Neurospora crassa OR74A: one gene and its partners. The protein of the gene in region 1 interacts with the protein of each later gene in a pairwise test. Links are inferred from orthologs where the notes say so. Each region holds a gene or a part of one and is shown in the gene's direction. Other genes may lie near its edges. The genes, in order: pcn, NCU10776 and NCU07482.

The links.
Region 2: the proteins of pcn (region 1) and NCU10776 interact in binary tests that used the Saccharomyces cerevisiae proteins (3 or more experiments, as listed by UniProt). The link is inferred for Neurospora crassa OR74A from reciprocal best matches to the Saccharomyces cerevisiae genes POL30 and RAD27.
Region 3: the proteins of pcn (region 1) and NCU07482 interact in binary tests that used the Saccharomyces cerevisiae proteins (3 or more experiments, as listed by UniProt). The link is inferred for Neurospora crassa OR74A from reciprocal best matches to the Saccharomyces cerevisiae genes POL30 and UNG1.

The regions. Positions count from the first base shown.
Region 1 is NC_026501.1:9,447,169-9,450,697, forward strand, and holds pcn (proliferating cell nuclear antigen), read left to right. Parts: upstream 1-1,226; 5' UTR 1,227-1,462; intron 1,463-1,583; 5' UTR 1,584-1,585; coding exon 1,586-1,627; intron 1,628-1,723; coding exon 1,724-2,443; intron 2,444-2,516; coding exon 2,517-2,534; 3' UTR 2,535-2,889; downstream 2,890-3,529. Other genes in the region: NCU09240 (hypothetical protein), read left to right, coding at 1-525. UniProt on the Saccharomyces cerevisiae protein: This protein is an auxiliary protein of DNA polymerase delta and is involved in the control of eukaryotic DNA replication by increasing the polymerase's processibility during elongation of the leading strand. Involved in DNA repair.
Region 2 is NC_026507.1:3,045,942-3,049,765, forward strand, and holds NCU10776 (DNA-repair protein rad2), read left to right. Parts: upstream 1-1,301; 5' UTR 1,302-1,492; coding exon 1,493-1,591; intron 1,592-1,665; coding exon 1,666-1,670; intron 1,671-1,791; coding exon 1,792-2,353; intron 2,354-2,434; coding exon 2,435-2,953; 3' UTR 2,954-3,286; downstream 3,287-3,824. Other genes in the region: nox-2 (NADPH oxidase 2), read left to right, coding at 1-670, 733-766. UniProt on the Saccharomyces cerevisiae protein: Structure-specific nuclease with 5'-flap endonuclease and 5'-3' exonuclease activities involved in DNA replication and repair.
Region 3 is NC_026501.1:466,511-470,644, reverse strand, and holds NCU07482 (uracil-DNA glycosylase), read left to right. Parts: upstream 1-1,349; 5' UTR 1,350-1,748; coding exon 1,749-2,194; intron 2,195-2,320; coding exon 2,321-3,224; 3' UTR 3,225-3,504; downstream 3,505-4,134. Other genes in the region: fr (manganese ion homeostasis protein), read right to left, coding at 3,690-4,134. UniProt on the Saccharomyces cerevisiae protein: Excises uracil residues from the DNA which can arise as a result of misincorporation of dUMP residues by DNA polymerase or due to deamination of cytosine. Not involved in strand-directed mismatch repair.

The DNA.
Region 1 (3,529 bases):
GTTGGTTTCGACCTCCTGTCGCAATACGAGTCCATTGGCCAAGACCTCAAGATGCTGCAGCAAGCCTGGGAGGATGGCAAGGCTGCCCTAGCATCGGGAATCGACCGCAACGAGAAACGTATTTCGTCTATGAGCATGCTGTACTCGCCTGCTACCTCTCTAAGCGGGTTGACCACTGTCGGCGAAGAGAACGAAACCGGCGGCGGAGCGGAGGATGCGCTGAAAGCGCTCACCGGGGAGACGTCTCCCACACGAAACTCCTCGCCAAGTCCCAACGAGCCGGATGTGTTTGAGGCGGTTGCGCTATCGGCTCGGCCCAGGAGTATGCTGACCAGGGAAGAGAGATTGGTGAAAATGAAAGAGGAGAGAGAGATGAGGGCAATGCAGAGAGAGAAGGCGGAAGCGAGTAGGGGCATGTTGAAGGAGTTGGAGATGGTGATTAATCTGAGGCCGAAGAGACATACAACCATGGGACCAGGCGGGGGAAACGGCAGGAGTGCGGCGCCGACGAGGATTTCTTTATGACGACAGACAAACTCTGCGGCATTCGCGCTGTCTTTCTTTCGGGTTTCTTTTCTTTGACCACTATAATCTTACATGGCATCAAGGCATTGCGCGCAGACAAAAGAGAGGGGCGAACAACAACGACGAGAAGGTCAGCTTGCCAGTTTTCTTGAAAAGCAACAACAGCAACAACAACAACAACTTTGGGTAGAATGGCGTTTTGACGGACATACAGACCATGGGAACATTTGAAAGCTGGGGCAGGCAAGCGAGCAATGTGGGACACAGAATTTAACGGCGTTTACACAGTTTATACAGACGATCTTGGGCGGGCATTCTGTAACAAATTCTTTTTTGAGTTGGGGGAGGGTGTAAGATAGGTGAAATAATGTAATAATCAAAATATATTGGAGAATGGAGGTAGAACAGAGTTCGCGCAGAAATGAGGGAGTCGAATAGTTGAAGTCATATCATCGGAACTTGAAGTGAGCAGCATACCTTTGGTTCGACATTGCCGTCGAGACACGATCCAAACAGAAAGAGGGGATTCAGGGCGACAGCTCCCACTGAAAACGCGAAGATTGCGCCTGAAAGCGGACTAACAGCGCTGGAGAACGGGACCGTGCACCGGGAGCTAGCCTGAAGCGGTAAATCAATTAAGCCTAACCCCGGCTCAGCGCGTTTAGCTGCCATTAGCAGGCGCGTCAAGTCGCGAAGTGGGTGTCCCGGCACCACCTGTGGTATTGGTGGTTCCTCTCTTTTTATCGTCCATTGCCTGCCTGTTGCAGCTTTTTGAACAAAACCATAACTCTTCCCAAATCCAAATCTTTTCTTCTCTCTTCTTTCTTCGTCAAACCACGAGCGCCTCTCTCTCCCGAAAGTGATACCCAGCGCGCGCATATTTTCTTCCCTCTTTGTCTTTTTTTCCCCCGTCGAGTTCGGTAATTCACATCCATCAGTATGTCGTCTCTGTCTGAGCGTGAAGCTGCCTGCTCGCTTGCTCGCTGGCCCGGCACTAGGAAGAAAAGCTGGAGAACTGGAGTGATGGGTTGCTGACTGGAGGACTACCACAACAACAGAAATGCTTGAAGCACGGTTGGAGCAGGCGTCGATCCTGAAGAAGGTATGTCATGTCCTCTTCCTGTCAAGTGCTGTCTGTTTCCTTTCCCAGCTAGAAGACCCCCACTAACTCTGTCATGATGATGACGATGATGTCCAGGTCGTCGACGCCATCAAGGACCTCGTGCAGGACTGCAACTTCGACTGCAACGACTCGGGCATCGCCCTGCAAGCCATGGACAACTCGCACGTCGCGCTCGTGTCCATGATGCTCAAGACGGAGACCTTCTCGCCCTTCCGGTGCGACCGCAACATTGCGCTCGGCGTCAACCTGACGTCGCTGACCAAGGTGCTCCGCGCCGCCCAGAACGAGGACATCCTGACGCTCAAGGCCGAGGACGCGCCCGACGTGCTCAACCTCGTCTTCGAATCTTCCGAAAACGACCGTATCTCCGAGTACGACCTCAAGCTCATGGACATTGACCAGGAGCACCTGGGCATTCCGGATACCGAGTACGCGGCCACCATCAGCATGCCGTCTTCTGAGTTTAAGCGCATCACCACCGACCTCATGGCCATGAGCGAGAGCGTCAACATTGAGGCGAGCAAGGACGGCGTCAAGTTTAGCTGCCAGGGCGACATTGGCAACGGCAGCATTACCCTCCGCCAGCACACCAACGTTGATAAGCCCAGCGAGAATATCGAGATTGAGTTGAGCGAGCCGGTTTCCCTCACGTTCTCGCTCAAGTACCTGGTCAACTTTTGCAAGGCGAGCGCGCTGTCGAGCACGGTCAAGATCTGCCTCTCCAACGAGGTGCCCCTTTTGGTCGAGTACAACATTTCGGCTAGCAGCTACTTGAGGTTCTATCTTGCGCCCAAGGTATGTCTTTGTTTGTCATTTTCTGGGTGGTTGTTTTCTGTCAGGCGTGATGCTAACTGGTTCTGATTCACAGATTGGCGACGAGGAGTAAACGCCCCATTTACCTCCAACAACCGAACCACATCTTTGTTACGAACACCACGAAACTATGCCTTCATGTATACCTCGAGTTGCTATAAAATCATGGGGAGGAGGAGAATTGCAAGTCATGTAGAAGATAAGGGGTGATGCAGTGATGAGAAGAAGAAAAGGGATATGAAGAAAAAGAAATCTGTGTTTTTGAAAGAGTCTGGCACTAGTACACTACACACAAATGTTTTAGAGGGCGTTTTGTTCTTTCTGCTGCGAAGATGAATGTTTAGGGGAGACGACGAGGTGTCAATGATTATTGCGATGGCCTCCAACAACACACCTTCACCAAGGAACCCGATGCTGTTGTCGTTTCCTTTTTTTTTTTTTTTTTTTTTTTTTTTTTTGTCTGATGGTTTCTAACATTGATATCGGCAAACTGTCCTCCCTGTATCACTATGGTAATCATCGCTTCTCGGGAGTTCAGCTTGGCGTTGAAAGTAGGTATCTCAGAAGTGGGTTCAATCACAAGTACACCAGTACTGACATCACCACTTCCCGTCAGTCGGCGTGTTTTCCAGAAATCTTCCACCCGACTGTTTTTTTTTTTTTTTTTTTTTTTTTTTTTTTTTTTTTTTTTTTTTTTTTTTTTTTTCATCCGATGAAGTTCCTGGTGTTCACCAGCTTCCCCACATTGTTCATTCAATGTATGTAACTTACCTACCCACCACCTGCGTGACGTCCCCTCCCGCCTACAACAGCCCAGGGCCCGGGGCGCGCCCAGCAGCTGAATGGACTCCGCATTCAAGTTGCCCCTAACCCGCCCTGCAGGAAACTTTTTGGCGGGGCATGGGTGGTTCCTGGGGAAAAAAAAAAGAGTCATTGACTGGCCGGCCCTGTGCCATGACCGTTAGCGGCGAATTTCTGGACCATTCGAGGACTCGAATCAAGATGTGGGCAAATGGGTGGCACGAGAGGGCGATATCGCAGTTTATTTGATTGATGATACTATTTCCA
Region 2 (3,824 bases), on another chromosome or scaffold:
CGATCCACGTACGTGTCGTTGGTGATTTTACCAGGCAACTTGCCGAGACTTTGGGGTGCGAATTCGACAACAAGAAGAAGGGAGACACGTCCAAGGTCGTTGGCGTCAGCCAGGAGAACGACGAAGTTGATCCCGCTCTCCGCCGTGTTCTTCCCCGTGTGTACGTCGATGGACCGTTCGGCTCCGCCTCCGAAGACGTGTTCAAGTACGAGGTGTCCGTCCTGGTCGGCGCCGGTATCGGCGTGACCCCCTTCGCCTCCATCCTCAAGTCGATCTGGTATCGCATGAACTACCCGCAACAAAAGACGCGGCTGAGCAAGGTGTACTTCTTCTGGGTCTGCAGAGATTTCGGCTCGTTCGAGTGGTTCCGCTCTCTGTTGTTGGCTATCGAGGCCCAAGATGTCGACCACCGCATCGAGATCCACACGTACCTGACGGCCAAGATCAAGATTGACGATGCGACCAACATCATGATCAATGATGCCAACGCCGATAAGGATACCATTACTGGCTTGAGGTCGCCGACGAACTTTGGCCGTCCGAACTGGGATATGATCTTTAGGGGTATCAGGAAATTGCATGCTCCGGGCGAGGCTGGCGTGTTCTTCTGCGGTCCCAAGGGACTGGGCAGCTCGCTGCACATCTTTTGCAACAAGTATAGTGAGCCTGGGTAAGTTCATGGTTCTTTTGTGGTGGACTTGCAACGGAAAGACCGCTAACATCTTGCATTAGTTTCCACTTTGTTTGGGGCAAGGAGAACTTCTAAGACTTCACCCTGGTTTCTGTCCCCCTTACCCTGTTCACTCAATAACCTCAGTATGAGGCACGATCTACTAAATCATTTCTGCCTTTTATGCCATAGTATATGAGCATGTTTGGACGGCGATGACTGCGAAATTTGCTCGTTACCTGTTTCACCTCTTTATGTGCCAGTTATACCAATTATTGTTTCCAGGTAATGGAGAAGCTCGAGGTATTTAGGAAATTTGTTCAAGACGTTATGTTGTCAAGAAACCATAAGATATTTGTGTTCCTTTGCAATCAAATTGAAATCGCATCAGAAAGTGTCCTCCTTGGAAGAAACACAAGCATGAAGAAGAAGACACAACTTGATCTTTCAACCCCTTGGCTTCGAGTAAACGTCCAACCCTAACCCGTAGTTGTCCGAGCATCACTCCAATATGAGAGCACACACACGCAGGGATTCTAAGTGCCCCACATTTACCATCGCGAAAGAGGTGCGTCTCCAGGCAGGCAATCCGGTCTTCAGCAGCTTCAGCGCGTCAATTCCACTGGACGGACGCGGAAAGCCTCCTCTCGTTTCCCGTCACAAAGTGACATCACCTACCTTCAAGAGACCAAGATACCTCCGTCCCGTCTGCAACAACAACCTACTGTACTTTGACTTTCTCCAATTTCTGCACGGAATCCGCCCGACTTACCACCTTGTCCCAATCTCGAACCCGGAATCGCATGAATAACAATCGCAAAGATGGGTATTAAACAGCTTTTTTCGGTCATCAAAGATGAAGCGCCTGACGCCATCAAGGAGGGTGAGATCAAGAATCAGTTCGGTCGCAAGGTTGCCATTGTGAGTTTTATGTCATTTTAATCAATGCACTCTTTCTCTTCAAAATATGCTAACATTTCACCTTCCTTTCACAGGATGCGTACGACTCCCCCGCCCGACCCCAACCCCGACCTCGATCATGAAGGAGAAAAAAAAAAAAAAACGTAACCTACCGTACCATAATCGCTGACATCATAACCTCCTCCCTAAACGTTATACAGCTCCATGAGCATCTACAGCTTCCTAATCGCCGTCCGCTCCGATGGCCAACAACTAATGAACGAGGCCGGCGAAACCACGTCGCATCTAATGGGCATGTTCTACCGCACCCTACGAATGGTCGACAACGGCATCAAGCCGCTTTATGTATTCGACGGCGCGCCGCCCAAACTCAAGTCCGGGGAGCTAGCCAAGCGGTTCCAGCGCAAGCAGGAAGCCACCGAAGGGCTGGAGGAGGCCAAAGAAACCGGCACGGCCGAGGACGTGGAGAAGTTCAGTCGGAGAACGGTCCGCGTCACACGCGAGCATAATGCCGAGTGCCAGAAGTTGTTGAAGTTGATGGGCATCCCCTACATTGTGGCGCCCACCGAGGCGGAGGCGCAATGCGCAGTGCTGGCGCGGGCGGGCAAGGTGTATGCGGCTGCCAGCGAGGATATGGATACGCTGTGCTTCAACGCGCCGATTTTGCTTAGGCATTTGACGTTTAGCGAGCAGAGGAAGGAGCCGATTCAGGAAATCCATTTGGAGAAGGTGTTGGAGGGGTTGGGTATGGAGAGGAAGCAAGTATGTTTTCCCCCCCTGCCTTTTGTTTCTTCGGGCTATCAAAAAAATACTGCGATATGCTGACAGCACCCTCTTTTACAGTTCATCGACCTCTGCATTCTCCTTGGCTGCGACTACCTCGACCCCATCCCCAAAGTCGGACCCAGCACAGCGCTCAAGCTGATCCGCGAGCACGGCACACTGGAGAAGGTGGTGGAATGGATGAAGGCGGACCCCAAGGGCCGCTACCAAATCCCAGAGGACTGGCCGTTTGAGGACGCGCGCACGCTCTTCTTCGAGCCGGACGTGCGGCCCGCCGACGACCCGCTGTGCGACTTTAAGTGGGATAAGCCCGACATCGAGGGGCTCATCCAGTTCCTGGTTCATGAGAAGGGGTTTTCGGAGGACCGTGTCCGCAGCGCGGGCACAAAGCTGGAGAAGAACATGAAGACTTCACAACAGGCGAGAATCGAGGGTTTCTTCAAGATACTGCCCAAGACGGAGGAGGAGAAGAAGGCGCATAAGCGCAAACTGGAGGAGCAGGCGGAGCAGAAGAGGAAGAAGGTCAAGGAGGAGAAAAAGGAAAAGGCGAAGCTTAAGGCGAAGCCTCGTGGTGCTTAGGGCGGGAATGTCATTACGTGGCCCGATTACTTACCGCGTTCTGATGGGTACTGGCGTTTCAGGTATTCAGGAGTTTATGGGAGTTTTACAAAGGCGGAAGGGAAAAGGGTACGGAGATGTGTGTATTATTTAGCACGTCGAGGAATCCGTGGAACCCAAGGTTACGGGAATGTGTACCTACTTGTTTTTTTTGCGTTTGCCATGCGAACGATTGAGTCCTCACAGATTTACCGCCATCTAGCTATATATTGATTGATGATCATGGGATACGGATGGGATCATACAGACCGCTACCATGGAGCAACTGCTGCAATAAGAAAGTTATGTTAATGTATCTCCAACTCCACAATTAGTCGGCCCCATGGAGTTCGCTATGACAAGGTCCATGATAGTACACGTACAGTACGTGCATTTAGCATCGGCTCGGTCTTTGTGCAGTGCACTACACTACAGGCTGTGGCCGCGGCACGCACCGCGGCACGCACCGTGGCAGCACCACACTTGCCTCGGCTCATTGTTGGGTGGTAATCCCAGCCGTTCCAATTGGTCCCGCTGGAACAAATGACATCAGCCTAACGTGGACTCGGTGGAGACCGAAACAGAGACATTCAACGAGACTCGCTGCAAATGGGAACTGGAAGTGATTTGGGAGGGTGTCACATGTTCCCGTATTTCATTCCATTTCGAGAACGACCAGCCTCGCCGTCGTCATTGTCCTCTGGATAAGCACCGGAGGTTTGGAGCAAAGCCGCCCAAAGACAGTTGAAAGTTTGAATATCAAACTGTGAGGTTTCATGTCAACGAAGGCGGAGGTGGGTCGGATTGCATAGCGCAGGGGTCTTCCCCACGGGCAGGAGACGGGCAGTCGAGG
Region 3 (4,134 bases), about 9.0 Mb from region 1:
CCAAGTCCAGAACTGCAAGCCATGTGTGTAGGCTTTCTCCAAGCATTGCTGGAAACGGCTTTATTCCAAGTCTCAACTCACCACAACTGGTGGACAAGATCTCGGAGATCCCGATTTGATCATGTTCATTCATCCCAAGGGATCGATGCAAAGTGATACCCGCTCCTGGTACAACTTGGTCGTCCCTCCTTTACCTAGCTGAGATGACGTGCGTTGTGTACGAGCTTGTGGTACAACGCTGAGTTGCCTGGAAGTGGAAGGTAAGTAGAGGTTATGGCGAGGGGCAATGACTGCCATTATGGGCTTTTGGATTTTCTCTTGGAGATGTTTGGGTTGATGATACATATTATAGCGTGTTGAAATGTGTGCATTTGCTTGATTTGTTGCCCCTTTCTTTCCGTCTCTCTTTCGTAGTTTTTGCTCCTGTTTCTTCTTAATTCTGTTCCTATCAACGCAATTGTACCCAAGAAAATGCAAACAAGGCGCGATCTTGGACAGACAATGCCGATGAACCGATCTGTTTAACAACACCAAGAGCTTTCAGTTCACTCGACATGAAGATGTTCCCCAGAATCGCATAACTAAGACTTATAGTGATACCGGCATGTCCACTTTTTAGAAGGACTTCGCCAGCGCCTCATCTGGCAGTGGGTGCAAGGATCAGAACGGGTACATCTTGTGCGACCCTACCGGAACCTCGGCGAGCTCGGCATCCAGATGAGCGTTGGACGGAAGATGCGACGGGATGATCCAGTCAGGGGCCTCCACCTCTTCCGTAAAACCCGGGGCCGGTCTTGATGTCGTACTTGACTCCGCTGAGGGAATGTTCGGCAGGACAGTCACAACATAAAAACAAGAAGAAAAAGAAAAAAAGAAAGGGAAGAAGAAAAATTGGAGGGAAGAAGAAAAATTGGAGGGAAAAAGAAAGAAAGAAAAAAAAATTGCTCCAATTCTAGCGTTAATTCATATAGTACATGAAATTGAGTTGAAGGCCACTTGCAAAAAGTGACTCCTTAACAAGAGAAGTAACTTCAGACGATGTCACAGGTAAAAAGGAAGATGATGCAGGCCAGCAAGGTCCCCCATCTCCACCCCGCTCAGCCGTTACGGCAACCTCAAGTGCCCGATTTCGGCGGCTCCAGTTGACTCCAGCACTTCCCTTGCGCTAACGGAATCTCTTCGGCGGGGCCCGCGAGGTCCAATGCGGAGCAGCGGGACGGGATCCGCTTTCAACGGCGGCATCGGTGGGGCCGACTAGACGCAGACTAGAGTCTTAATTGAATGAACAATGACGCCAAAAGTCGCGTCGTTGTTCGTTGGAGAAGAGAGAACCTTGCAGGGCCGGAGAGTGAAGACGCGCTTTTGCTTTTTTAGCGTTGTTTCGTCATTCACTTCCATTGGGCGAACCGAGGTGGTTGATAACATTCTGTTTGGAAAAGCAAACAGAGAAAGGAACGTTGCTTTTCTTCCCCAGCTATTTCCCACTGAAGAGTGAATTTGAAAGACATTTTCCACTCGAGAAAATCCCAGATTGGAGTCTCGACTTCACTCCACCGTCCCAGACAACGACTCTTTTCACTCGATCAACAAGTTCTCACCCTCAAGATAGTCAACCATCACGGCTTCAAAGAACCTCACGACCTCTCTGGGCTATCTTGAAAGTCGGCGTCTCTCAACTCTTTTCCGTCACCTCAACCTCAACCTCACCCACAAACCACCACCATCACCACCATCTCTCACTCAGAACAATGTCCTCCCTCAAACGCAAAGCCGGCTCCTCCCAGCCTGGCCCCTCCCCCGACGCCAAAAAGCCCAATCAAAACGGCAACATCATGTCTTTTTTCGGGGTTCCCAAGCCCGGCGGCCCTCTCAATTCCTCTTCTCCAACCACTCGATCGACCAGCCGCAGCCAAAGTCAGCTCAGCAACAGCAACAGCAGTACTACTACTACCGCTACTACTACCCCCGACCCCGCCACCGTAACCAAAAAGTTCAACAAGGAGAAATGGGTAGCTTCTCTGACGCCCGAGCAACGCGACCTTTTACAGCTGGAGATCGACACCCTTGATGAGAGCTGGTTGGCGCATCTGAAGGAGGAGATTGTAACCAAGGAGTTTTTCGACTTGAAAAGGTTCTTGAAGAAAGAGTGGGAGACCAAGACGATATTCCCGCCCAAGGAGGATATATATAGCTGGTTTGTCTTTTTTTTCCCCTCTCTTTTTTCCCCTTCTTCCCTTCTTCCCTTCCCCCCCTCCTCCCCTCTCTTTTACCATCCCGTCCATTCAATTTTCATCACTAACACCCACCCAAAACAACACAGGTCCCGCCACACCCCCCTCCCCACCGTCCGCGTCCTCATCCTCGGCCAAGACCCCTACCACAACCACAACCAAGCGCACGGCCTCTCCTTCTCCGTGCGACCTCCGACTCCCGCCCCGCCCTCCCTGCGCAACATCTTCATCGGCCTCGCACGGGACTACCCCTCCTTTACCCCCCCGCCCTCCAAGAGCGGGCTACTAACCCCCTGGGCAACCCGCGGCGTCTTGTTGCTCAACACATGCCTCACAGTTCGCGCGCACGAAGCCAATTCCCACGCGAACCGCGGCTGGGAACGCTTTACCCAGAAAGTTATCGACTTGGTAAATGAGCGACAGAAAAAGGGGGTGGTGTTCATGGCGTGGGGAGCGCCGGCGGGGAAGCGGATGGCCAAGGTGGATGGGAAAAGACATTTGGTGTTGAGGAGTGTCCATCCGAGTCCGTTGAGTGCGCATAGAGGGTTTTTTGATGCGGGGCATTTCAAAAAGGGGAATGAGTGGTTGGAGGGAAGGTATGGGAAGGAAGGAAGGGTGGATTGGAGTTTGGTGGAGGGGAAGTCGATATTTGCTGATGAAGATGGGGAGAAGGGGAAAACAGAGGGGAAGGGTAAGGGGGAGGGGAAAAAGGATGGGAAGGATGGGAAGGGGGAGAAGGAAAAGAAAGAAGAAGAGGAGGAGGAGGATGAGTTTGAAGGTGGAGAGATTTTTGATGAGGAGGGATTAAAGGAGGTTGAGGCTGTTGTGGAAAAGGTCGTGACGGAGGAGGGCGGAAAGGAGGAGTTAAAGACGGATTTGATGGTGAAGAAGAAGAAGAATAAGGGGGAGGAGGGAGGTGATGAGAATGCTATTCCTGTTCCTGAGGAGGAGGAGGAGGAGGAGGAGCAGACGGAGAAGATGGAGGAGGACTGATGTTTGGGTGATTTGATGGGCTAATTGGTTGTACATGTTTGGATCTGCGAGCTGGGTCGCACACAGTTTCTTTACCCAGGGGCATGCGGCCGTTGTGTTACGCTACAAGGAGCCAAGTTTTGATTGGACTTGGGAAAAGGGTACTTGCTGTTTTAGGGTTGGTGTTTGGAGTTATTTGTCAGTATTGCTCTTAGGTCTAGCTCGAGCGAGTTTATATAGAGCATCAGCTAATAGGCATCTCGTCAGGCAACGGAGTATAAAGACGGGTCATGATGTTGAACCATGTACATGTAAATATGATAAGATTTATAGTATGTACCGGCACCTAATTGATGCCCCTGGACGGTTTTATCAGATAACATCCCCTTTCACGCCCGCTGCGACCAGATTTTTTTCCTGCTTCATCACCATGTTCTCCCCCATTTCTTCAATTCCCTCCCCTAACTATGTGTCTTAACGAACGACTTACCCCTTCCAAGCCAACCACCCAAAAACCACCACCACCATCCACGCCACCCTCCAAACCGTCGTCCACAACTCCGTCACCACCACGCCCATGGCGGTCTTGGGCTTTTGCTTCTTCCTACTCTGCCTCGCCCTCCATTTTGAACTCGAACTCGAAGTCGTAAACGCCCCACCATAATAAAGATCCTCCTCATTCTCCCCTGGGATCTCAATCCTCGGCTGATGATAATGATGATGATGTCCATGCTTCCCACCCCACGACCATCCTCCTTTAACTGATTTATTGCTATTACTGTAAACGCTCGATTTCCTGCTTCTCCCACTACTACCTCCACTCTTTTCGTTGTGATGACCATTTCTCAAATTATTTGACTTTAGTGAAGACGAACTGACGGACGCGGTACGACTTCGTCGTTCGCCTGAAGTGCCTGAGGAGCCGTACTTG